6 linked regions of the Bombyx mori genome follow. The protein of the gene in region 2 interacts with the protein of the main gene of each other region in a pairwise test. Links are inferred from orthologs where the notes say so. Each region holds a gene or a part of one and is shown on either strand. Other genes may lie near its edges. The genes, in order: nuclear inhibitor of protein phosphatase 1, serine/threonine-protein phosphatase PP1-beta catalytic subunit, serine/threonine-protein phosphatase 1 regulatory subunit 10, protein phosphatase 1 regulatory subunit 16A, protein kintoun and PDZ and LIM domain protein 7.

The links.
Region 1: the proteins of serine/threonine-protein phosphatase PP1-beta catalytic subunit (region 2) and nuclear inhibitor of protein phosphatase 1 interact in a two-hybrid assay, tested with the Drosophila melanogaster proteins (2 studies listed by BioGRID). The link is inferred for Bombyx mori from reciprocal best matches to the Drosophila melanogaster genes flw and NiPp1.
Region 3: the proteins of serine/threonine-protein phosphatase PP1-beta catalytic subunit (region 2) and serine/threonine-protein phosphatase 1 regulatory subunit 10 interact in a two-hybrid assay, tested with the Drosophila melanogaster proteins (2 studies listed by BioGRID). The link is inferred for Bombyx mori from reciprocal best matches to the Drosophila melanogaster genes flw and PNUTS.
Region 4: the proteins of serine/threonine-protein phosphatase PP1-beta catalytic subunit (region 2) and protein phosphatase 1 regulatory subunit 16A interact in a two-hybrid assay, tested with the Drosophila melanogaster proteins (2 studies listed by BioGRID). The link is inferred for Bombyx mori from reciprocal best matches to the Drosophila melanogaster genes flw and MYPT-75D.
Region 5: the proteins of serine/threonine-protein phosphatase PP1-beta catalytic subunit (region 2) and protein kintoun interact in binary tests that used the Drosophila melanogaster proteins (3 or more experiments, as listed by UniProt). The link is inferred for Bombyx mori from reciprocal best matches to the Drosophila melanogaster genes flw and Nop17l.
Region 6: the proteins of serine/threonine-protein phosphatase PP1-beta catalytic subunit (region 2) and PDZ and LIM domain protein 7 interact in a two-hybrid assay, tested with the Drosophila melanogaster proteins (2 studies listed by BioGRID). The link is inferred for Bombyx mori from reciprocal best matches to the Drosophila melanogaster genes flw and Zasp66.

What each region holds. Positions count from the first base shown.
Region 1 is NC_085126.1:4,092,689-4,095,665, reverse strand, and holds part of nuclear inhibitor of protein phosphatase 1, read right to left. Parts: intron 2,149-2,977; coding exon 2,060-2,148; intron 1,736-2,059; coding exon 1,638-1,735; 3' UTR 1-1,637.
Region 2 is NC_085124.1:8,354,105-8,358,278, reverse strand, and holds the start of serine/threonine-protein phosphatase PP1-beta catalytic subunit, read right to left. Parts: upstream 2,801-4,174; 5' UTR 2,534-2,800; coding exon 2,485-2,533; exon of another isoform or gene 2,373-2,484; intron 2,125-2,372; exon of another isoform or gene 2,008-2,124; intron 1,240-2,007; coding exon 1,108-1,239; intron 1-1,107. UniProt on the Drosophila melanogaster protein: Required for cell adhesion in non-muscle tissues and in maintenance of muscle attachment. Vital for larval development.
Region 3 is NC_085110.1:7,714,672-7,718,960, forward strand, and holds the start of serine/threonine-protein phosphatase 1 regulatory subunit 10, read right to left. Parts: upstream 2,801-4,289; 5' UTR 2,280-2,800; coding exon 2,277-2,279; intron 1-2,276.
Region 4 is NC_085117.1:10,540,727-10,544,921, reverse strand, and holds the start of protein phosphatase 1 regulatory subunit 16A, read left to right. Parts: upstream 1-1,395; 5' UTR 1,396-1,477; coding exon 1,478-1,572; coding exon of another isoform or gene 1,573-1,603; intron 1,604-2,058; coding exon 2,059-2,210; intron 2,211-4,195.
Region 5 is NC_085116.1:10,196,615-10,200,255, forward strand, and holds the end of protein kintoun, read right to left. Parts: intron 3,353-3,641; coding exon 3,232-3,352; intron 1,871-3,231; coding exon 1,532-1,870; 3' UTR 501-1,531; downstream 1-500. UniProt on the Drosophila melanogaster protein: Required for cytoplasmic pre-assembly of axonemal dyneins, thereby playing a central role in motility in cilia and flagella.
Region 6 is NC_085128.1:10,936,626-10,940,636, forward strand, and holds the start of PDZ and LIM domain protein 7, read right to left. Parts: upstream 2,801-4,011; 5' UTR 2,185-2,800; coding exon 2,071-2,184; intron 1-2,070.

The sequences.
Region 1 (2,977 bases), on a different chromosome or scaffold from region 2:
CAAATTTTTTTTCATATATATGAAATGTTAATGAATGTAATATGGATGCAAAATCTAAAGTAAATGAAATAAATAAAATAGGATGTGACGTCCTATGCTGGATGGCTGGTCAGAGCTGGTTGATAGCAACCGAGGATCGTGATCAATGGCGTACAATTGGAGAAGCCTAAGAACCAGTTACAGGTCAAAATTCATTATCAATTTCAGAATGCATCGTCTTTAATTGTGAAATACCTCAATTAAAAAATCATAAGTGCATATAGAAATTATATTGTATATGTGATATTAAACAAATTGGTATATGGAACTGATGATGTACGGTTTTATTGAAACAAATAGCATCGATAAATGAACATTACTTATATCAGATTTGTTTTCCAAGGGTTCTGATGTATCGATATGTATCAAATAACGTTTTCCATAGAACAAAAGACGATGGTTCTCTGGCGACTCCTAGTTTGATTCTTCTAACGACAAATGTCCGAAGAAGCCCAATTATCGGTCAGAGATACGATTGAAATAACACGTGCCTGCAGTATTCTCTCTCAATTTCGCACGCTGAATCCTATAGACGTATATGTTTGTCTCTTTCTAGTGTCGTTTCCGTTTCATCCGAAGTCGCAACAGTGCTCAAGAAGCTTTGAGTTCAACAAATCGGCGTGTCGGATCGATCAAGTTTATTTGGACAAAAAGCAGCAAGATCGCACTAAGTCACAGAGACGAGCTTACGACCCTGGTTTGTAGAGGGTTTACTGGGTAATTATCGACAGATTGGCCTCAGCTCTGTTATCGTGTGAATCAAAACACGACAACACTATCCTGCGATAATTTCAGCCGCCATCCTGACGTTAAGTGGTTACCGGAGCCCGCTCACAGTGACCTTCAGACATGAGGTCGAAATAGTCTATGTGTGTATTTTATGACGGTTGTTTCACCGCGCCGATACATTCCCTAGGAGACGACCGACATCGGCTAATATATTACTACCACATTACTTACATGCATGATATTATTACGCCGGTAAGAGTAACGCCATCTATCGCCAAATAGCCGAAACGAATATCAAAGGAAGTCATAACGTCGAGAAAGATCGAGAAGTACAACGCCACCTATTGTCAGATAGCGGAAACACACGTCGAAGATAACTCGACTTGTGAGGAATTTCCTCGATAATTCTAGGGATGTCATATCGACTATAAAAGCGTTGCAGAGATGGCACGAGTTAATTAGTAATCGGAACTATTCGAAACGAAACAGCGAACGGATTACCTGAAGCGAAGCGGAAGAAGTGAATTAAGAATTTTAAAGTGTTCTGTGAGTTTTCTAAGTGTGAATATACAGTTTTAATTTATACTTCGGTAGATTTTTTATTTATCTCCAGCGCGTTACAATATACAATGAATTGAATATTCAGATTCGCCAGCACAATCCAAAATTGACTTCCGAGAACAACTCCGGCGTCACCAATACAAATCGTATATCACGTGAGCTCATTGACAAGCCATCACACAGAAACGAGAAACTTCGTTTTACATTGACTCTCCGACACCTAAAGCTCCATTCAAACGCTGAACACAAAAGGACATGGTTGTTTATTTACTTTTAAGTTTTTAAAACGTTCCGACTTCAGTTTCGCTTCACACGCCCGGTATGAGACTTGGCTTCCGGCCTGGCCACGCTTCCTTGGCGTACTTCTTCTTTCGCGGGCCGGCCGACGAACCTGGTTCTTCGGGTGCTGGAAAATAAAGATTCAATAGAGTGAGAGAGTCTATAATTAATGTGTAAAGCAAAAACTTTGTATCCCCTTTGTTTTATTGCTTAGATGGATGTACGAGCTCAAAGTCTACCTTGTGTTAAGTGGAGCCCATAGACATCTACAACGTAAATGCGCCAAATGGAATTTGTCTATGCCCCGGACATGTCCATGACAAGACAATTACGGTACTCACTATCAGGCAATACGTATGTATATGTTCGACGATACATAATCACCGTACGAGTTTACATCAAATCAAACCTTAACGCTTCAACATTAAAGTACATAGTGCGTTGGACTGACCTGTGGTCGGTAAGGGCGCGTGCAGCATGAACGGTTCCGGACCTTCGAGCTCCACTTCGGGCGCCGGGTTCGGCAACGATAGACCGAGCCTGAAAGGGAAAGACAAAATTTCCATAAAATATATATATATATATATATTTAAATCGATGAAGACTTCTTGCGTCTTTTCATAGTCGAACCCTGTTGCATCCACCGTTTCCAATGGGTTTTAAACTATTATTCGTGCGAATATAGTTACATTGGTGTCATGTGAATTCTATTACCGACAAGAAATTTTATTTAAATTCGAAAATAAGATATTCAATTTGAAATAATTCTCGCTGGTTCCTTGCATCCGTTCATGATGGAAATAATGTGTCACATTGTATATTTCTGTATTTGTTCCATACATTTAATCAGTTTTTCGACATCCATCCAAATGTATGGATATATCGGTACCGTATACTGTCCTGTATTTATTCTATGCATTCCACTAATTACATGACTACTTTCTATATTTGAGATTATATAGGTACCGAATATTTTTTCTGTATGTACTCCATAAATTGTTTTGAGGTTGCTGCTTCCTCCTAAAGTTATAGTAATATCGATACCGTATACTTTTTGGAGTGCTGCTGTCTTCGATTAATGTAATAAATAATAGATCCCAATGAACCAATCCCCAGAACCATCTCCTTTTATGAAGTCAATAAAAATAAAATTTATGTAGCTTTGGGTTTGGATGCCGGCTTTTTTTCCTATTCGCCGGTAGCCTAGGAGACTATTTCAGTTATGACCTTACGGGTAGGTGAGCTCATGGCTTCAAACCTGAGAAAATTTGCTAACACCAGCCCTAACAAGAGTTGTGCTTCGCTGAATCTATCACCGGAACGGAATTGCGACCCACCGAGATGACAATGGTTTATCGATAGCGAACAC
Region 2 (4,174 bases):
TATAATTATTGTGTTCTCATCAGTCCTAGATACACGTACAAATTTTCAAATTGATCAGAAAACTCCAGAGGGTAAATATTATGTTGAAAGATTTAGTTACATGAAGAGAGAGTGAGTCAGTGAGTGAGTGAGTGAGAGAGAGAGAGAGAGATATATAGAAATATACCTAGATAGATACAGATAAAGCTAATAAGAACAATACTTTATAGATAACTTTGAGTATAAAATCTTAGCAAAAAGTAGGAAGAAGTGAGACACAATTTATTTTATGTTTTTTTTTGTGTGGCACTTATGGTGCATCATGTATGCATGCTGAGGAAAAAAGTTACTCTTTCATAATTTCATAATGAGAAAAAGGGAGGAGAAAAAAAAAACTTTTATTTATATTAAAGACATTTAAAAAAAGGTTTGTATGTTTGCTCTCTGTGGGTCTAGAGCTGGCTAGATTGAAAAAAGTGTGACAATAAAGAATGACACCAAACACTGACATCTTTTCTGATTCTGATCTGATCTTCATCTGATTTTTGAGGCACTTCCCGAAGACCTAGGAAACTGAAACTTCTATTTTCAATATTTTTTTCTATTCATTCAGGTTGGCATTAATTTTGAGAATATGCATTTATTTTACATATTTTTAATAAATAATACTGATTTTTTTTTGTTCACCAATATTCCCAAAAATTTTCTGCAATACCACGTTTATTCACATTTCATTTACATGCATGATTCCTTTGCAGGAGGTACAGAGAGGATTGTATTAAATGCTAGGGCTAGGTAAGTATGCCCTAATACCACCAACTACAGAATTGTCTTGCAGATAATTTTGGATAATGGTTATTCTATTACAGCTCAGGGAATGATTCCAATACTTATTTTAAATTTTATGCTTTAATACAGGGTGTATTAAATCATAAAAGTTAAATAAACATAGTATGAATGAAATAACAAACTTTGAAAATAGAATTTTACTTTTGAAAGTAGCTTAGGTTCATGAAATTAAATAAGCTAAATAATTATTTTTAAATCTCATTGTTACTGGTGTAAGATATTTATATTTCATTAAGAATGTTTTTAATTTAGTGAAAAAAAGAACTTTTAAGACTTTACCACAAATTTTGAGTGGTGCCTCCAACTCCAGTAATATGGGCTGCTGCAGGAATATTTCTCTGGACTTTGTGCAGAGCCCACGTACCTCTGCCTCCGACATTTGCACAGTCTTGCCAGGCCTGCATCCTCGAACTAAGGCAAAAGTTTGAAGTCAGAATAATAAGATTTATTAAAAATATAGATTTGTTTAAAACTGTAGTACAACTAAAAGCAATTAAGCACTCTTAGCCTTTTTTTGTTTATAATTTTATTCTTATAAGTAGCTAAGGAAGCATAGTTAGTATAGTTTTCAATTTAATTTTATAAATTTAATTGAATGGGTTTCAGTTTGCTAACTTCTAACTCAAAATAAACAGAATGCTTTTCATAACACAAAAAACATTTATCAAATGCAGGGGTTTTATTAAATGTTATATTTATGACATGTAAGGCATGCAGACATTTTCATGCAAAATACAATTTAACTACCATTCCTAGAATGAAATTTGATAAGAATCTAACAAAACAAAATGTATTCAAGTATTGATAAATTTATAGGCACACAAATCAACAAGCACTCCTAAACACTAGCACTCAGTATCAAAATTGATCACCAATATAATCTCAAAAAGTTATTAATTTAAAAAATTTGCAAGATTAAGATCAAGTTTTTATCTAAATTAACATTATACAGCTGTAAACACAGATTGCAAGACCTTCCTATAAAATGGTTTAGCGATCATAGTTTGTATATACTTGTGGCTATTTTTAGATTCAATTGAAGAATGAGATGTTGATGGGTAACACATGATATAATTATTGGGAATAAACTTTCGGTTAAGACTGATCACTAGGGTAGTAAGAAATAAACGTTCTAGCTGAATACTCTGGCAAGAATTTTGAATGTGGCCATACATTCTCCTGAAAAGATGTCTTTCAATTTGCCTTTCTTCCTTGCAGTTTCTTGTTGCAGTCTGTATACTGTTGTAACCCATCAAAAAGCAGCACAATAAAGTGAAATGTATATGTTTGAATCAAGTAAGCAATGCGTAACACTAATAAAAGAACAATAAGTTTGTGAGTGTTTAAATCTATGGAAGTCTGACATCATTGTTCAGGGCTAAAATCTAACAACTATTGTTTATACGTAAATCTTCCCTTCTAATTGAAAAATAACATATCCAAGGCATTTAAACATTAACAGAAACGCTAATATGCAGCCTGATAAGAAATTAAGGATAATCGATTTATTTATGAGGTTGACGTTTCTATGCCTTCTTATTCAGAAATAATTACGCAACAAGGACCAGCTGAATGAAAACCCAATATTATCAGACTTGCAACTAGACGTCTGGTAGTTAAGAGAGGCTCACAAAATCGTAACAAATTGCATTTTACCTTCCAAAAGTCTGTGAATTAGACTGTCAACATTTAGTTCGTCAGCCATATTTACTACACGAATAAATTTATGTCAAAAAGTCAAATGTTTTTTTCTTCCTGTTTGCTCTTATTGTTTGTGGTTAGAATTACTCTTCATAATACGCAGAACTTGTAAAGAAGTAAATAGGAGAACAATTTTATGTTTAAAATGGTTTTTATCGTCGCTTCTCATTTATTGTGTTTCATGGATAGTTACTTAACTTAAAAAATGTCCATTGGTAGACACAAAACGTTAAAATAAAATAGCATTTGAGTAAGTTTCAGGTACATTCCAAGTACTGCAAAATGATTCGTATTTGGTTTTTAATCGGTTTGGTTGGAAATATACATATCTGCAAGAACGTTTTGGGTTCCTAGGTGAGACGTATAATTTTTTCCTGTGTTTGTTTGCTTATCGTTTCCATGCTGTTGATTTATTAAGTATATATAAGTAAATTAATATATAAAAGTATATTGGGACCTATATAAGTGATTATGGTGATTTCATATTGTGTAAACGGTCTAAGCATATATACTATTTATTGTATTGTGTTTGAAGTCGTCGTGGCCTAAGGGATAAGACGTCCGGTGCATTCGTGTTGAAGCGATGCAACGGTGTTCGAATTCCAGACGGGTACCAGTTTTTCTAATGAAATACGTACTTAACAAATGTTCACGATTGACTTCCGCGGTGAAGGAATAACATCGCTGTAATAAAAATCAAACCCGCAAAATTATAATTTGCGTAATTACTGGTGGTAGGACCACTTGTGAGTCTGCACGGATAGGTACCACCGCACTGCCTATTTCTGCCGTAAAGCAGTAATGCGTTGCGGTTTGAAGGGTGGGGCAATGAGCTCGTTCACCTATCTAAGCAATAAAAAAAATGTATTTTTTTCCTTATTAATCTATTCTTAATAGTACACCGCAACATATACAATACTGTATCTTAATATTTTGAGAATTTCTGTAAATAAATCGGTTGTCTAGAACAGATCGCTTTTAGTAATAAGGTCGCATAATGTACAAATATATCTACTTGTTGATTCTTTTTTAATGTTAATTGTGTTTTGGCGTGCATTAAAGTATATTCTCTCGAGAGATCACTTTCCATGAAATTTAACATTATCGGTGCCCATTCGTAAATCGTGCTCTATTCGCTTCAAATTGAAATAAAGTAAAATCAGCTGAATTATTCAATTAGTACCTTTTTTACTCATCGTTTCTAAAGTTGTTCTAAGCATTAAAATGAAGTATTCATCCGATAATATTTTTAAACTACTACTCTAAAAACCATCGAACTTGGAGTCGTTGCGTTTCCAGAGATGTTTTTTCCACGTACCATTCGGCTCGATATTTAATTTGCCTCTACAGTGTTTCCCGAGTATTTCAAACTGGGCTTGGAATGAGTTTGGAATGGTACACAGCGCTTGGACTAGCATGTTGAGACAAACTTGAATATTGCTCTGCTTTGGAAGGCTTAATAGATTTATTAAAATATTACAATTGACAGCCATACCGGTATAAGTTGCAAAAACAGTTATTAGTTCTGTAGTAGAAAGCTCATTCTATATAATCTGATACAAAGGTGTTATAATTTCATTAATTTTCTCTAAAATTAATCGAAATCAAATTCACAACTACTTTTAGATTAATAAGTGGACAAGTT
Region 3 (4,289 bases), on a different chromosome or scaffold from region 2:
CAGTCAACGTGTTATGGGTGCGGCAGCCGCTGTAACTATACTGAGACCTTAGAACTCATATCTAAAGGTGGGTGGCAGCATTTACGGTATAGATGTCTATGGACTCCAGTAACTACTTAACTCCAGATGGGCTGTGAGCTCATCCACCCATCTAAGCAATTAAAAAAAAATTGTAACTATCTCAAATGGGAAGCATATATATATGGTTAAATTGGACATAAAATTCAGAACCAGAAGTTTTAAATATTATACTACTGGTACATAAGTAAAGCCTCTTTTGGAATATGCTTAAATAATAAGGGGCCCTTTGAAAATAAAAAAAACTTGGATAGTTCAACAGCGTGAAACTAAAATGGTTCATGCCATGCAACAGCAGCTCAGATGTCTTGTCATGAATACACTTGGACAGCATAGACTGAAATAGTTTGCAAGATTCTCTCTGAAACTATTTTGATCACTCTGAATAAGAATCTGATATCAGTAATAAAACAATAGCTGAAAGGTATTTCAATTAAATGAAAATAATCCTTTAAAAGTTTTTATTCAAATTAATGATTTGTATTTTTAATCCATAAACAAAAGTTAGTTAGTAGAAGGTCAACGGTCAGGTCATTGTATATTTGGACTCAAACAAGGTTTAGAGGTAATGAGGATTCCTTCCACTGAAGTTTTGTTGTGATGCAATTTTTATAGATAAAACATTATCGATCCCTCTGTTTTAAGGACTGAATCTGAGGAGTTTCGAAATAAAAAGTTTCTGTAGGATTGAAAATGCTTCCAGAAATAGAGTTTTAACCATTTTGAAATCTCATAAGTTAAAAAGCATATCAGTAAAAGCTGTTACTAGTGTTACTAGTGCCATTAGACCTGGGAACATTAATTCCACAAAACATATGAGATCAATGTCCTAGAATATAACATAGCTAGGTCTTTAACACCTGTAAAATTTTGACAACCGGTATAGTGTGGATACTTGGGAGGCAATTACGAAATTATTAACCTTATATTGTTCATTTCTACACTAAGCTACTTTTAATGGCAAAAGCTATAATCATTTAGTGTAGCTGTTATGTTATGTTTATACAAATTTATGTTCTACTACAATTCCCACTCATCGATGAAGACAAAACAATAAAATGTCTGACCTTGTTTATTACATTAGACAGTGGTGTATTTAAACATTAAATTATAAAACACACTGAGTAATGCTTCATGACATTTGTTTTGGCTTGTTAAAGCTTAAAAATAGTATTACAAATATTTAAATTGAAGACATCTAATACTGTTTTTTTTTCGTTCTTATACTGCAACAGATAAATCAAACGAGCTCAACCACTATCTGGTAAATTTCTTCATCCTCACTCAAGACAATGAGGTCTCGATTGACATATTGAATTGATAACTTTATTTAACTTCTTATTTCAGAAACCTCGAGGGGTCACCCTAGATTCACTGGACGTTTAGGCAAGCTCTCTGGTATCCAGCTTGGCGTCTTGCTAGCACTAACCCTAGCAAGGACAGTGCTTCGCTGAATCTACCATTGTATCGGAATCGCGACCCACTAAGAAGATCCGGCAACTCAGTGGGCTGTTATTGTTATTTAATTTTCATGACGAAGCCTTGGTCGCATTCGAAAGGTTCGATGAAAATGGTGACTGGTGCTTGGAATGCCTAGAAACACCGATTGTGGATAGGGGGGATTCGAAGTGACGTGTTTTGGGCCACGACCACTATTTACCGTTTGTTGAATAACGCGTTGCCCATAAAGATGAACAATGACCGTTTGGAAAAGAAAACAAGCAAATTAGCAATGTCTACCTGAAAAAGGGCGTGTATTTTAAATTTTTTTATGTTTGTACAGATGGAAAATAGACGATTGCAACACTCAGGAATTTTCAAATTAATGATAATTGTCTTGCATCATATTAAATCAATAAAATATCCGCGGCCCGATTCAATGATCAAAGTCCACTCTTTGTTCTTACAAAAGTAGGCGACAGCCAATCACGTTGAAGCATTTACCGACGGATGTCACGCCATTACTTACCTTCTTTCTAGAAACCACGTCATGCCAACCAAATTACACCACGTTTCATATCTATTTTTAAACCATTATAAATAAAATCGACTTATTGCTTAGAACTCATGAATTCTTTATATTCAAAGTCTTTAAATGATTTGACATGAAATCGATACCTACGTATGTGAATTCAGTTTGCTACTTATGTAAAGTGGGTTGAGAAATTCATAACAATTTTAATAATTATCGCACTTACCATTTCTTCTAATTTTACAGTAGATAACTTCAAATTAATTTAACTCCGAGAACAGCAATCAAAATTCATGTGCCACGCCCTAAATTTTTCCATTCTAATATGGCGTCTTGTGTATGAAACAGTACTCTCACAAACGAAACACTGATTTCTTATTTATACAGTTCAGAATTAGAGACTCAGTCCACGAAATTACTATTTCAACAAAATCATTACATATATTACATTCTATCCACATAAATTTACAATCCTTTAAATTAACATTCTTAATTATTGCGTAATTTGAGTGATTGTTTCAAGTGTCTGAATGTGGTATTTATTGATAATTAAATACCTAAATAAGCTATGGATAATATTGAAAATTAAAATATACACAATCTACTTGGCAGAATCCTAAACGGCAGCCAATTTTATTTAGCTCTTGTAGAAATACGAGCGCAGATACGCACGCAGCGCAAAGAATAGCTGAAGAATGACAAAGGAGGAAAAGGAAACTGCGCACTTTGTAGCATAGTCACTAGCCGGTGTTGCTATATTTTTTTGAAAATTTGCAGAAATGAGTAATTTCGAACGTTCCGTAGTGGTATGTTTCTTCTCTAACTCTGTAATATTTATTTGTAACAATCATATGGAAGAGTCTATAATCTTAGCTTTGCCTAAATTCACGCTCGTCGGTAGCTTCCAATTAGTAGTAGTATATAGTTACTATACTAGTTCAGCCGTAAGTTTGTCAACCTTTGAGGGAAATAAAAGAAGTTTCAAGTACCTATCATCCATGCGTATGAAGCAGTCCCATTTTCGGATGTGGATTTTACGTTTATGACTTTCGGTTTATCGAAAGGTTATTTCAATTTTAGTATGATCGTGAACATTTAAAAGTAAAAAGCAGATGAACCAAGTTAAAGTCACTCTGGCTACCCACCCAAGATAACGGGAACTAAGTAGACTGTTAGGTCAACAGAAACAACATCGCCGAAACAGTAAATAAAGTTGAAGCTGGGTTGGAGCACTGAGAGTTATGCAGTCTTTTATTTTTACCAAAAATCCAGAAATACCACTGCAACGGCAACAATTGTTTCTTCTTTTCTTTTTCTTAATAATTTTACCCTTTTTATATATAAATAATGTAGAAATAGATATAGACAATTATTGATTTTTAAAAGCAAGACAATAATTTTCAAATATTACACAAAAGCCTTTAAAATCAAATGAGAGGCTGACAAAATCACTCTAATACTTTTTGTCGCGAGAGAAGAGGTATCAAGTTATGTTACTTTGTGGTGATATTAAAGTATTTTTTTAGGATTAAATGTGTAATAATGGCGACCTATCAACCGTTTAGCCTCTGTGAAAGTGCATAATTTTGGGAAAATTAAACATAAATGCTGGACGTGACTGCTCGTATTGAACCTCAGTAAATTCCCCACTATCGTTTGTTCTATTTTATTTTCCATAAAATAGAACAGATTCAGCCTTTGAAATAAAAAAATGGTTACTTATATGGTCTACGATCCCTTTGCCTTTTGCAATAGACTAATTAAAAAAAAAACAGAAAAGAAAAGATAAATGAGAAAATATTCTTCTTCTTCTTCTTCTTAATTTTGGCTCGGCACCATTCGTGCATTTGGCCAGTGTCAAGTATTTTACATTTTGTCAACAAAGCGAGGGAAACATATAACGCGAATTAAAATAATTAAATCATACCGGGAATTATACAAAAACAAATCAGAATAATTTCATATCTAAAAAATATATATAACAAAAGAAAACAAATAATATTAAACTACAATTTAATCTTGTTATTTATAATAAATTTATTTAATGCACTATATACACAGGGTCTATTATCTCTAAGAAGTAAGTAAATGTTAGAAGGAAGAGGAATAGAGAGAGATATTAGAGATTCATATAGGAAAGAGTGGTCATATAAAGGACAGGAAAAGAAAACATGATTCATATCGCAGTAACTCTCACCACATTCACAGGCAGCACTAGATACTATGCCAAGTTTATGCA
Region 4 (4,195 bases), on a different chromosome or scaffold from region 2:
AAAGACAAATTGGTGACGACACTTTGTCTATTTTAACGTTTATTAAAATAGGCGCCAGCCGTTTCTAGCTTTGGTTTGATTTCTTTCAGATATACATATATCGAGGGGTGAAGGTTATTTGGTTTAAGCAACATTTTGCTAATACGCGACATTTATCATTGTAATTAAAGATGCGTTTTACTTGGTATTAGCATCAACAGTTCGATGTTTTTAATTGAAATTTAGAATTAAGAATTAAGTTTACTCTATTCAAATAGCTGAAGAAGTTTTTTCTCATATTTTTTTTCAAAATTTAAATATAGAATAAATAAATAAACTATATGGCTGGCTCCCCATATGATGTAATTTGTAAAGTTGCAAAAATATCGCTTAAACGATATAGCCTTTCACCCCTCGATACATAATTTAACGTTAAAAAAAAACGTTAATTTCAGAGAAGCTCACGACTGGAATAAATATTACGGCCACAGCCAATAACACAGTTCGTCGCAAATTAATTCGGAAGCCGATATCGAATTTTATGTAACCGAAGTGATTGTAAAAAATATATTTTTAGACGCAAGCGCTAATTTGGTTTGCATGTTCCGAATTACACCTACGATCGTGATATTTCTCAAAAATAACGAGTGGGCATGAACCACCCGCATGCCGCCTTGTCATTAATCACGGTTCAGTTTGTGTATAGTCGTGGAGTTTTCTATGCAGCAAGCAGTCTACATCAAAGAAGTTTTCTGTTTAGGTATTCGGAACCTTTTTTTTTAAACCGTTTTGATCAGATCAAAAAGTTTAACGTTATAAAATACGAGCTGATTTATTTGTAAATCTTGTGAATCATGTGCCTAGTTTGGCTGTATAAAATAATATTGCAACATAATATTTATAGGTATTAAAATTTTTAGTGTATATACGTGTTTTAATTATTCTTATCAGATTCAGTTTGTTTATTGAAAGTAATTTTAAATGTTTAAATTTCATTTTGTCGTTTATCTTAATTAATGTTTATTCCATAAGTTATTTATTATTATTTATTTATTTAAATATTTGTTCGTTATGCGTGCTATACGTTATTTTATCCAAATGAATACAAACGTTATCTTTACAGACATTGTTACCACTTGAGTGATTTCTACCGTATTCTGAGTTTGATACGTAACGAGCAAGTCTATACAGAAAAATTGTGTGATATATATTTAGTGATAGTGCGACTTCACCAGTTGAATGTAAATAAAAGTGTGATTCTGTGAATTTAATTATTCAATAGTTGAGAACTATTCTTTTTCGTTTGTTTGCATATATCAATATGGAATTTGTGTTGTTACTATTTTAAATTGATCTCTTAAATTTGCTGCTTAAGTGAAGTGAATAATAGAACACTACTACTTTGTTTTTGTTTTTTTTTTTAATTATCATCATTATTTCGGAACTAAAGTAAAGAACGCCCTTCCCAATTCGTCAGTATTAAATGTTCTGAAATGGAATGAAATTTGTTTCACCTTTTGGGATAATGTGCCTGTATTATTTTGTTACAACATTAACGTTTTCATCGTCGCTCATGGATATCAGCAATGTCAGGTACACAGCCAAGATGCCGCCTTTTGCTAAGGTCTGTACTCAAATCATGTTTAAAGAAGGACATGACATAGCGTTATGGAAGTTCTTTGGAGGACAGTTCGTTCTAAAATCGGACATGTTGGAGAAAGATCTCTAGAAACGCATTGTGGTGAACACAGTGATTCCAGATGGTGCGAGTGAACCCTACTCAGGTAGCGGAATGAGCGATAGTAAAAAGGAAATAAAGCGATAATTTCGAACAACTATTCAGTGACATTCAGCAGGAACACGACACGAAACACAGAAGGAATCAAAGTTCCTTCAGAGGTTCCAAACGATCCCTTTGTACGGGATTATCGACAATCCGAATGGCCTTTTCCCTATGAAGTCAATTAGTATACCGTGTGTTAATCTATTAGACATGAATGTGAATACTTTCAATAACTACTTCAGCAGAATAAGTCTTCTAAATTTAGTAGATTATAATTATTTATTAATTTCTTGTAGACGGCGCATGCAGCAACTAAAGCTATGGCAGCAAAGGGAGAAAGAATGGGCGAGGACCAGACCGAGGAAGGAGAAAAGCACCAAAAGGAATATTTATTTTAGCGACAGTGTCATGCTACTAGAAGCGGCAGCAAGAAATGATATAGATGAAGGTACTCGTGAATGTTTTTTTTTGTTTGAATGATGCATAAAAGTTACAAGGAATCGGATGTATCGTTTCGCTGCTGTTTCGCCTGTGAAGTTGCTTTCGTTTTTACTTCAATAAAAATCGTCTCGCCAGACCAGTGTTGTATGCGAACCGCGGTAAAGAGGCCGGGTTGTAGGAATTTCTTTACCAATTCCCAGTTATCAATACAAAACGGGAAGGTAATAGCGCCTTGAGTACCGCCCCAGTGTGGGGTATGCAAAACATACCATCTGAAAAAAATAATTAGTTGTCTGTAAATTCGGTTTACGGGTGACAGTCTTACATGATAACGTCAGTAGCAGAACTTTTTTTTTTTTTCCTACCTAAGCTGATAGCCTTGAGAGGCTATGTCAGCGTAACCCTAACTTTAGTAGGTGAGCTCACGGGGCTCAAACCTGACGATGTTGCTAACACGAACCCTAGCAAGAGTCGTGCTTCGCAGAATCTACCACCGGATCGGAAACGCGACCCACTGAGAAGATCCGGCGAGAAACTCAGTGGGCTGTGTCTGAGAGTTAATTTACTCGTCGAGCCCTTCGTCGCAAGCGACGGGTTCGACGAGAACGGTGACCGGTGCTTGAGGTACCTAAAAGCACCGTTAGTGGATCGGGAGGATCCGAAATGACGTGTTTTGGGCGACGTCGACTGCTTTCCATTCTGTCCGCAGGATCGGGAATGTAGTTACCGGCGGCCACGATGAGAGGATTCTCGTGTCGTGCCGCTTTATCGAAGTGGCGCATGGACGCCGACTGCAGATACTTACTGATGGACTCTAAGTCCAGGTCGTCATGGAGGTCGACATTCCTGACGAACCACGGGGCTCCGACGGCTATCCTGCAAAAACGGGATTGAATGACTTGGAATGATTTTAAGTGTATGCGGGCCGCGTGAGCGAACACTACACTTGCATAGGTCATGACGGGGCGTATGCAAGTTTTGTAGAGTGTCACCTTATTTCTAAGGGACATTTTACTTCGCCTACATATCATCGGGTAGAGACGTCCTAGAATGAAGGCGGCACGGTCGCGTACCGTCTTGATGTGGGGGCGGAATGTCATCCTACTGTCGAGGGTGACGCCTAAGTATTTGACCTTCGGGGCCCACGGTATGGGCTGGTCGAACATCGTGATTGGGCGAACGGCGGGGGCGGGGGTGTTGACGCGCCTAGTCGGGAGAGGGATGCTCAGCGTGGTGTTCGGAGGGCGACCCCTTTTGAAGAGCACCGCTGTGCTTTTCGTGGGGTTGATGTCGATGCGCCACTTCCGGAACCACTGTCCCATGGTGGTAGCTGCGGTCTGAAGTCGTCGATGAAGCAACGCCTTCTTCCTACACGAGTAGTAGATGGCGGTGTCATCGGCGAAGAGCGCCAGATGGGTCTCCGGAGACCGGGGTATATCGTTGATATACAAACTAAATAGTAACGGGGAGAGGGCGGAGCCTTGCGGGACTCCGGCTGTGACGTGACGGGGCCGGGAACGCGTTCCCTCGACTCGATATCGGAACGAACGGTTCGACAAGTAGTCTCGTATGATGAGTAGCAGAACTATTCGAACTGGCTAGCAGTTCGAGTGACGTCAGAGCTAGTCTGACGTCACGCGAGAAGAGTGATAAATGTCACCATGCCAACGCTCGGACCGATCGTGCCTCTCTATCGCTTGTTTCGCGCTCTCGCTTGCAGGCTCAGGCGGAACGTGACACATTTTTGTGCGTGCAGCCGGTGTTCATCGATTTATAAGACGTTATCACGTCAAAATAAGTGTATTAATCATCGGTGTACATATTGGAAATTCAACATAATATTATGTCTGTCAAAACTAAAACTTGTATCTAACGATTCTTGGTAGGAGAATTTTCTTATCAGTCCACTATAAAATTCGGAAGCTAAACGTGTTCTTAATCTGCTCAAAGGCTTATCTTAACCTGATATGTTGTTTGATTTTAGTTTATTTG
Region 5 (3,641 bases), on a different chromosome or scaffold from region 2:
AGAATCGTTGTGATTTCAAACCGGATGCAACGGAAAAAACGATAGGTAAGAGACACAAATACAAAAATGTGTAGGATGAAGCCAGCAAAGAATGAGACAGAAATATACATACTATTTAATACAGCGCCATCTGTGAAATTTTTTAATACTAACGTGTGTATGAAAGCTCTTGTAGTGAATTTTAATTTAGGATTATACGTGAAATTAAAATATCAATTCACAGAGGGCGCTACCTTACAATTATTTACTAATGACAAAATTTTACATATACTTGAGACGTTTAGGATAATTGTATTTTAATTTTGGAAGGTTTCACTTCTACCACGTGTGAATTGCACACATTTGTTTTTTTTTTATTACAGGATGTTATGCCTTCACCGTGGAAATCAATCATGAACATTTGTATTAAGTAAAACTACCAATGATTACCGTTACAATTCGACATTTCCTAAGATACCTATATCATCGTATCTATATGTGACCAAGGAAACAAAATAACATAATTTCACATTTTTTATTTTGTATACTCCCAAAAACACTGAATCACATTCATACGTTAAATAACTATAATTAATTATTACAAATCATTCGTTTCTAAATTAACTAAATGCATTGTTTATGACAACAGTTTGGGATTAATTTTAAGACAAGCTGTTCGTTTTACTCGCATAAAGTTATGAGCTAGGGTCATTAACTCGCATATAAATTTAATAGTTTTTGTATGGTTAGTGAATTTTTAAACAAAAATAAAGGTTAATAAAATAAATAAATAAAGGTTAGTAGTGCATTCTATTTTCTGTATTGTAAGTAGCATATACATACTACACTACTATTGGCTAGTTAGTGTCAACCCTAGCTACAGCTGTAACTCATCCAGACGGTAGCCGATACACACTTGACTCTCCTTTATTAAACCACTCACTCACTACCATATTGTTTAGATCAAGACCAAATATAAATTAACCATTAATCGTTAATCAAGATTCAAAAAAATCTACAAATAAACAATTTTCATATGCAAGACTGGATCGGATGTTTGATTATTTAATTATTTATTATTTGTATATATAATAAAATGTGTATAAACGTGTATTAATCTAATTGATCACTGTGCAGTGCTTTTAAAAACTTACACTGGACATCAAGCCATGTGTATATATAATAATCACTAGTTTGTACCACTCGTTCACATTTGAAATATTGTCTGGTGTGAGCAAAAATTATTTAAAGTAAGACAACTTCTGAAAACTATATACTCTAAAATTACTTAACTTATAAAATTATTAATTGACCGAATGTATTATGCGGATCGAATAGTCCGTTGCCATAAACCTAGAAACAACATTCTACAGTCTATAAATAGTACTCAAATCAATGAAAGGAACATAACTCTGAAATGTTATAATACTAAATCTATGAATAAAATTTTAAATTAAAACTGGGGTGTCCTCAATATATTGTAAAATCGTAGTAGAAGGCGTTACGCGCCTTACATTAACTTTAAGTTGCTTAGTAGCGAACATGGCTGAGCTTACATGTCCAAATCAAATATGAGATCGTTTTTAAAGGAAACTTCTAAATATTTTCCTTTGTTTAACCTTTCGGGATCGTAGAGGTCCGTTTTGTGTTTAATATTTTCGCAATTAATAGAATCTCCTTCGAGTTTCTTCGAATGCTTTCCGGAATCCCGAAATTCTGATTTCGCGTCAACGATTCCAGCCTTGTTTACGTATTTTGTCGGTTTAGCGTTTATGTTGAATTCGTGATTGTTGTACGAATCCGATGTTTTGCATTCTTCGGCGTCGGACGTGTCCGCTAGACCGCTGTCGCGTCGCTGTTTCAATGCTGACTTCGACCTTTGTTTGGAACTCTGCGAACATAATATTCATAAAGACGTTTAAAATGATATATCTCAGTATCTTTAACATACTTAAGAACATACTTGTTTTCGTTTTTTGACCTATAAAACGGAGAAAAAAAACGCTGACGATTTTGTTGCGTTATTTTGTAGAAACTCCTATGTAAATTACAAACATGAAACAACGCTTCTGCTAAATAAGTTGTTTTTGTAACTCGAACGGTCTGCGTTATTAGTGTCCGTTCACACGAGAACGAAGAAAGTTTGTAGAAATACGAGAAAATAATGTCACGTTTTGATTCATTCTTAAAAAACAAAATATGTATTACTAAACTGAACAATTGTTTTATGTATGTTATTATAAACTTGATAATGATATTTTATTGACAAATATACGTTTATAAATAGAATTTGGGCCAAAAGACTCCACGAGAATGGGATCATCGATAATCCGAACGGCCCTCTTCTTTACAGAGTCAAAGGGAAGTAGCTGGTATTTGGGAGCCCCGGCCTAGAGGTGGGACCAGTACTCCACGCGATGACAAACTTGTGTTTTGTAAAGCAAGTCTTTGTCCATGCGTGAAATACCGCTTCGCTATATAGAGAATTCCCAGTATTTTGGACGTCAACTTGCCCTTGAAATGACTCCAAAATTGGACATACATCGAAACATCGACCCCTAGTATCCCAATACTCGTGAAAGGTTGCAAGGATACTCTTTGGACTTGCGGCACCATGACAAGAGTCCTTTTTCGGAGTGAACGCGCAACCCTGGGTTCAATGGGTTGAATTGAAGTGTTCAGAGTTTTCTTCACTTCAGACCCATGATTTGATCGTCTCTCCTGCACTATGCTTCGAGACACTCTGATGCCTGACATATCGCACATCCCGGTGTTTGTCATCTGCATAACGACGCAAGCCATCAATAGATAGAATGGCATTGATTTACAGGATGAAAACCGTGGGGGAGAGCACTGATCCTTGTGGAACGCCAGAACTAACGGTCATGCTATAGGAGCAGCAGTCGTCTACGACTGTAATTCTCCGCTTATCCAAATAGATAGCAAACTACTTGCAGAGTCGCTGGGGTATTCCTTAAGGTGATAACTAAGCAAAAGTGACGTATGCGAGACCGTATGAAACGTGTTTATTTTTTATTCGCTTCATCAACAAGCTTATAGCAATTTTTTTTATTGCTTAGATGGGTGCACGAGCTCACAGCCCACTTACTTGCACCGTTACTGGAGCCCATGGACATCTACAACGTAAATGCACCACCCACCTTGTGATATAAGTTCTAAGATCTCAGTATTGTTATAACGGTTGCCCCACCCTTGAAACCACCAGTAGTAGTAAGTAAGAAGCTAACGTACCTGAAGAGTATTTCCACATTCTTCTTCTGCTTCACTTTCACTTTTCCTTCTCTCCAGATTTCTCTTTTTACTCTTCTTGCGTTGATTTTTCTTTTTCTGACCTTCAATAGAAGAATTGTACCTGAAAAAATAATGTAATATACATTAGACAACATAAACTTATGAAATCCACTATTATCATTTCTTGAAAATAACAAACGCAGATAAGAAAGATTGATATATAGATAGTGAAATAAATATTGATAAACACGTATTGAAATCATTACTCAATGGTTTGATTTATTCAAGGCATTTCCATGAGTAAGCTAAGTAAGTTTCAATGAGTAAATAAATCAAACTGTATGCAAATTATTCGCAATAATTGGATTTGGGTTGCATTGGGTATTCGTTTGAGCAAAACATTGGCAGTT
Region 6 (4,011 bases), on a different chromosome or scaffold from region 2:
TTTATACGAGAAAATCAGTTGTACTCTTCCGGCCTTATTTGTTAGATAAGCTTTATATTTTACACTAGCGACCCGCCCTCGCTTCGCTTCGGAAACATTAAAACACACATGAAACCAAAAAATAAAAAATAAAATAAAAATTAAAAAAAGTAGCCTATGTTCATCAGGGACAATGTCGGCTTCTAATGGAAAAAGAATTTTTCAAATCGGTCCAGTAGTTTCGGAGCCTATTCGAAACAAACAAACAAACAAATCTTTCCTCTTTATTATAATATTAGTATAGATTCTTTTTTTTTTGTTACCCTTGTAGGCAGACGAGCACACGGCCCACCTGATGCTGAGTGGTTACCGTCGCCCATGGACTTCAGCAATGCCAGGGGCAGAGTAAAGCCGCTGCCTACCGTTGAGTACTCTCCACAAGCCTCGTTTGAGGAAGGACAAGTCATAGCGCTCGGGAAACACCGTGGACGGGAGCTCATTCCAAAGCCGGATGGTATGTGGCAAAAAGATCTGTGGAAACGCAATGTGGATGAACGCACAGGCTCCAGGTAGTATGGATGAACTGTACTCCGGTGCGATAGTAAAAACGAGATGATGGAATTATCTCAAACAATACCTCAGAGCACTCACCATGGAACATACGGTACAAAATACAGAGAGAAGCGAAGTCCCTCCGCAGACCCAGAGGTTCCAAACGATCCGTGAGAACGGGATTATCGACAATCCGAACGACCCTCTTCTGTATGGAGTCAAATCTTTAAAAGGCCTTTAAAAGACGATTGTCGAAGTCTTATGAATATAAAATTTAAATAATTTTCATTAGGAATAGTACTCGTTCAGTCTAGGTTTAGTATCACTTACGCTACATTGCAAGTAAATCATCGGGTGCATGTTACTGCAATTAAATCATTTATACTTCAGCGATGAAATTTTAAAGTTAGATCTATCATCGTGGTAACTGATCGTAGTTCTATGTTTTATACCTATGGCATACTTAGTCCTATGGCATACATACATCCTTACTTATGGCATACTTAGTCCTATACATTTTATTTGTACCTACACTCCAAATTACATTTAGTTATTTCATCTGTTTAATAATGTAAGTATTCCTCTGGTTTCTGTCTCAGCGTTTATCCATTTTGAACGGAGTATTTTTTAAATTTGGTCATAATGGGTACAGAGTTCAAAATGAGAATAAAATTCTATAGTTATTTCTTTCTAATTAGTAAAAGTAAAGTTCGTTTATTATCAGTTCATCTGCTCGTTTGCAGCTTTTGTTTGTCTGGCCAGTATCTGCTTGTACACACTGATTTGGTTCATTTTAATTATTTACTATTTGCCATATAAAATATCAAATAAAAATATAGTAAATTGTTACATATTGAGTGATTTAGGGATACAGTATTCATTAACCAAGGAATTCAATATATTTTATCAGTTACATACGATATGATGCTGTAATTTTACAAGATCATTTAGTAAAAAAATCACTAATTGAATCCGTTACGGCTTCATTTGAATAAGGATGGCCGGAAGTTGAATAATTAATAGTTTTAAAAGAAAACAGCTCCAGAACTTCGTAGGATTACGACAATGAGGCCAAGCGACGACTTCACCGGCAGCTGTCGAACTAGAGCGACCGATACATATCCCAGAATACATCGGTTATAAAGAGACAACGTCAACGTTCTAGATTATTTGATGTTCTACATAATCATTTGAGAATCGTGCTGTGGCTCGGATTTTTAACAGCAGCGAAAATTAAAAAAAAACGAAAATAACCGAAACTTTATGAGGAGATAAAAATTCTTAAATTCTTTAAGAACAGATGTCATGTCATGTCACGACGGAATTATAATTATATTCGTTTGTAGTGAAATCGGCACCGTCGGTCCCTAAACATCAAATCGAAATACATATTCTATAGATAGATATCCACAAATTCACAGGAACGAAGCGTTGGGTTAATAGTAAATATTGACTCCAGCGCCGGTTTGTTTACACCGGCGTTCATTTGTTGACGTAGCGAGCGCCTTAGCTAACCGAGCTGATAAACGGGAGGTTTACCCTTGTGACAATGAGTGGAGTGGCGAGGTCTGCGCCGCCCACAAGCCGTAGTCCCCAGTTGATCTCGCGAGAATCCCTCCGCAGGGTCACTACGAACGTATGCAATCGGCCCATTGCGTTCGGATGCACTTGCGCGAACGCACTGTTGCGCGGATAGTACGACCGCGGCGGCAAGACACGACGTTCTGCGAGCTAAATTAGCCCACGCCGCAAACACGCATCCTCCCCGCCCGCCTTAGCTTCATGTAACCCTGCCTTCGCAATCGACCCAGTTCGATTTACGGAAACGATTCGATATTGATGACCGCCCATCAGGCTGCCTCCGAGATATGCCTCGCTGTTTATTTACTCCAATTTATAAACCACATTACTTTGACCTACATAAAAATTACACTTCAAAATATAAATGGGATAAGGTCGAAGAATTGATGGCGTAAATAAACATGTTAAAATTATTGTGATTACATTAACTACGCTTGATAAATGGGTTAGCAGAAACTTTATAGTTTATAATATATGTATATTAAAAATTCAAAAATGTTGTTAAGCTTATTGGGTTTCATGGTCTTTGATCAACTATACGAATTATTATTTAGTGGGAATAACAAGCTGTGTGAAGGCAACCGATCGTGTGAAAGTTTAAGAAAACAATATTGCTCATTTATATACTCGCGTGCACTACGCTACCATTGGCGTAGTCCAGCGTTTAATTGTTAAATTTAGACTGAAATCATGTTGATGTTTGCCAACTTCCCCATTTGCATTTTGTTCGTTATCGATAATTTGAAATGGAGCTCTCTTTTGGTGAGAATTTTCCAATTGGCACCCGCAAAATTATAATTTGTGTAATTACTGGTGGTAGGACCTCTTGTGAGTCCACGCGGGGGGGGACCACCACCCTGCCTATTTTCTGCCGTGAAGCAGTAATGCGTTTCGGTTTGAAGGGTGGAGAACTTATATCTCAAGGTGGGTGGCGCATTTACGTTGTGAATGTCTATGGGCTCCAGTAACCACTTAACACCAGGTGGGCTGTGAGCTCGTCCACCCATCTAAGCAATAAATAAATAAAAAGACGAGTTTCATTATTTATGAGGCTTAATGGCTGAAAGTAGTTTAAAAGCGTGTAGCTTGTTCTCATTATTTTATGTATCCAAATGAACACAGGTCTAAAATGATACATTTGAAATCACCGAAATCGTGAAACGGTAAAGATACATGGGAAATAAATATTTTGGGAGAGATTGCGACTGATTAAGACTCTTATGAAATATTTTGATATAAGTCGCAGTTTTCATGTCTACTTGTACTTAGATGTCCGAAAGGAAAAGACTTTAAGTACTGGGTGAACGTACTACGTTTTTATTTCTTATGCAATTCTTATTGATTTAGACTGAAGTTACCTTTTAGTGGTAGCTTGATTTAAATTATATAATTTCAATAAAATTCTTATTAACTATACATAACTTTCCTAGAAGTTCCATGTTTCATCGAAGTCCGAGTTCGAATAAACAAAAGACCTAACAAAAGAAGCACACCAATTAATTTCAATTTTCTGTCAACACCCCATCAGTATTCAACCACGAAAAAAATTTCATTACGCAAGATTAATAAAACAAAAACATGTTTAGTAAAACTTCGGTTCGTATTTTCATTTATCACTATCACTACATAGTATAAAACAAAGTCGCTTTCTCTGTCCCTATATCCCTATATAAATAATCTGAATCTTTAAAACTACACAACGGATTTTGATGCGTTTTTTTACTAGATAGAGTGATTGAAGAGGAAGGTTTATATGTATAATAACATCCATTAAATAGTGGAGAAATCAATAATAAATTACAGTTTCCGAAGCGAAGTGAGGGCGGGTCGCTAGTTCTTTATATGTTTTAGTCTCTTTATTTAATTTTCACATTTTTTGGTAAATGCTTACCTTTCGTT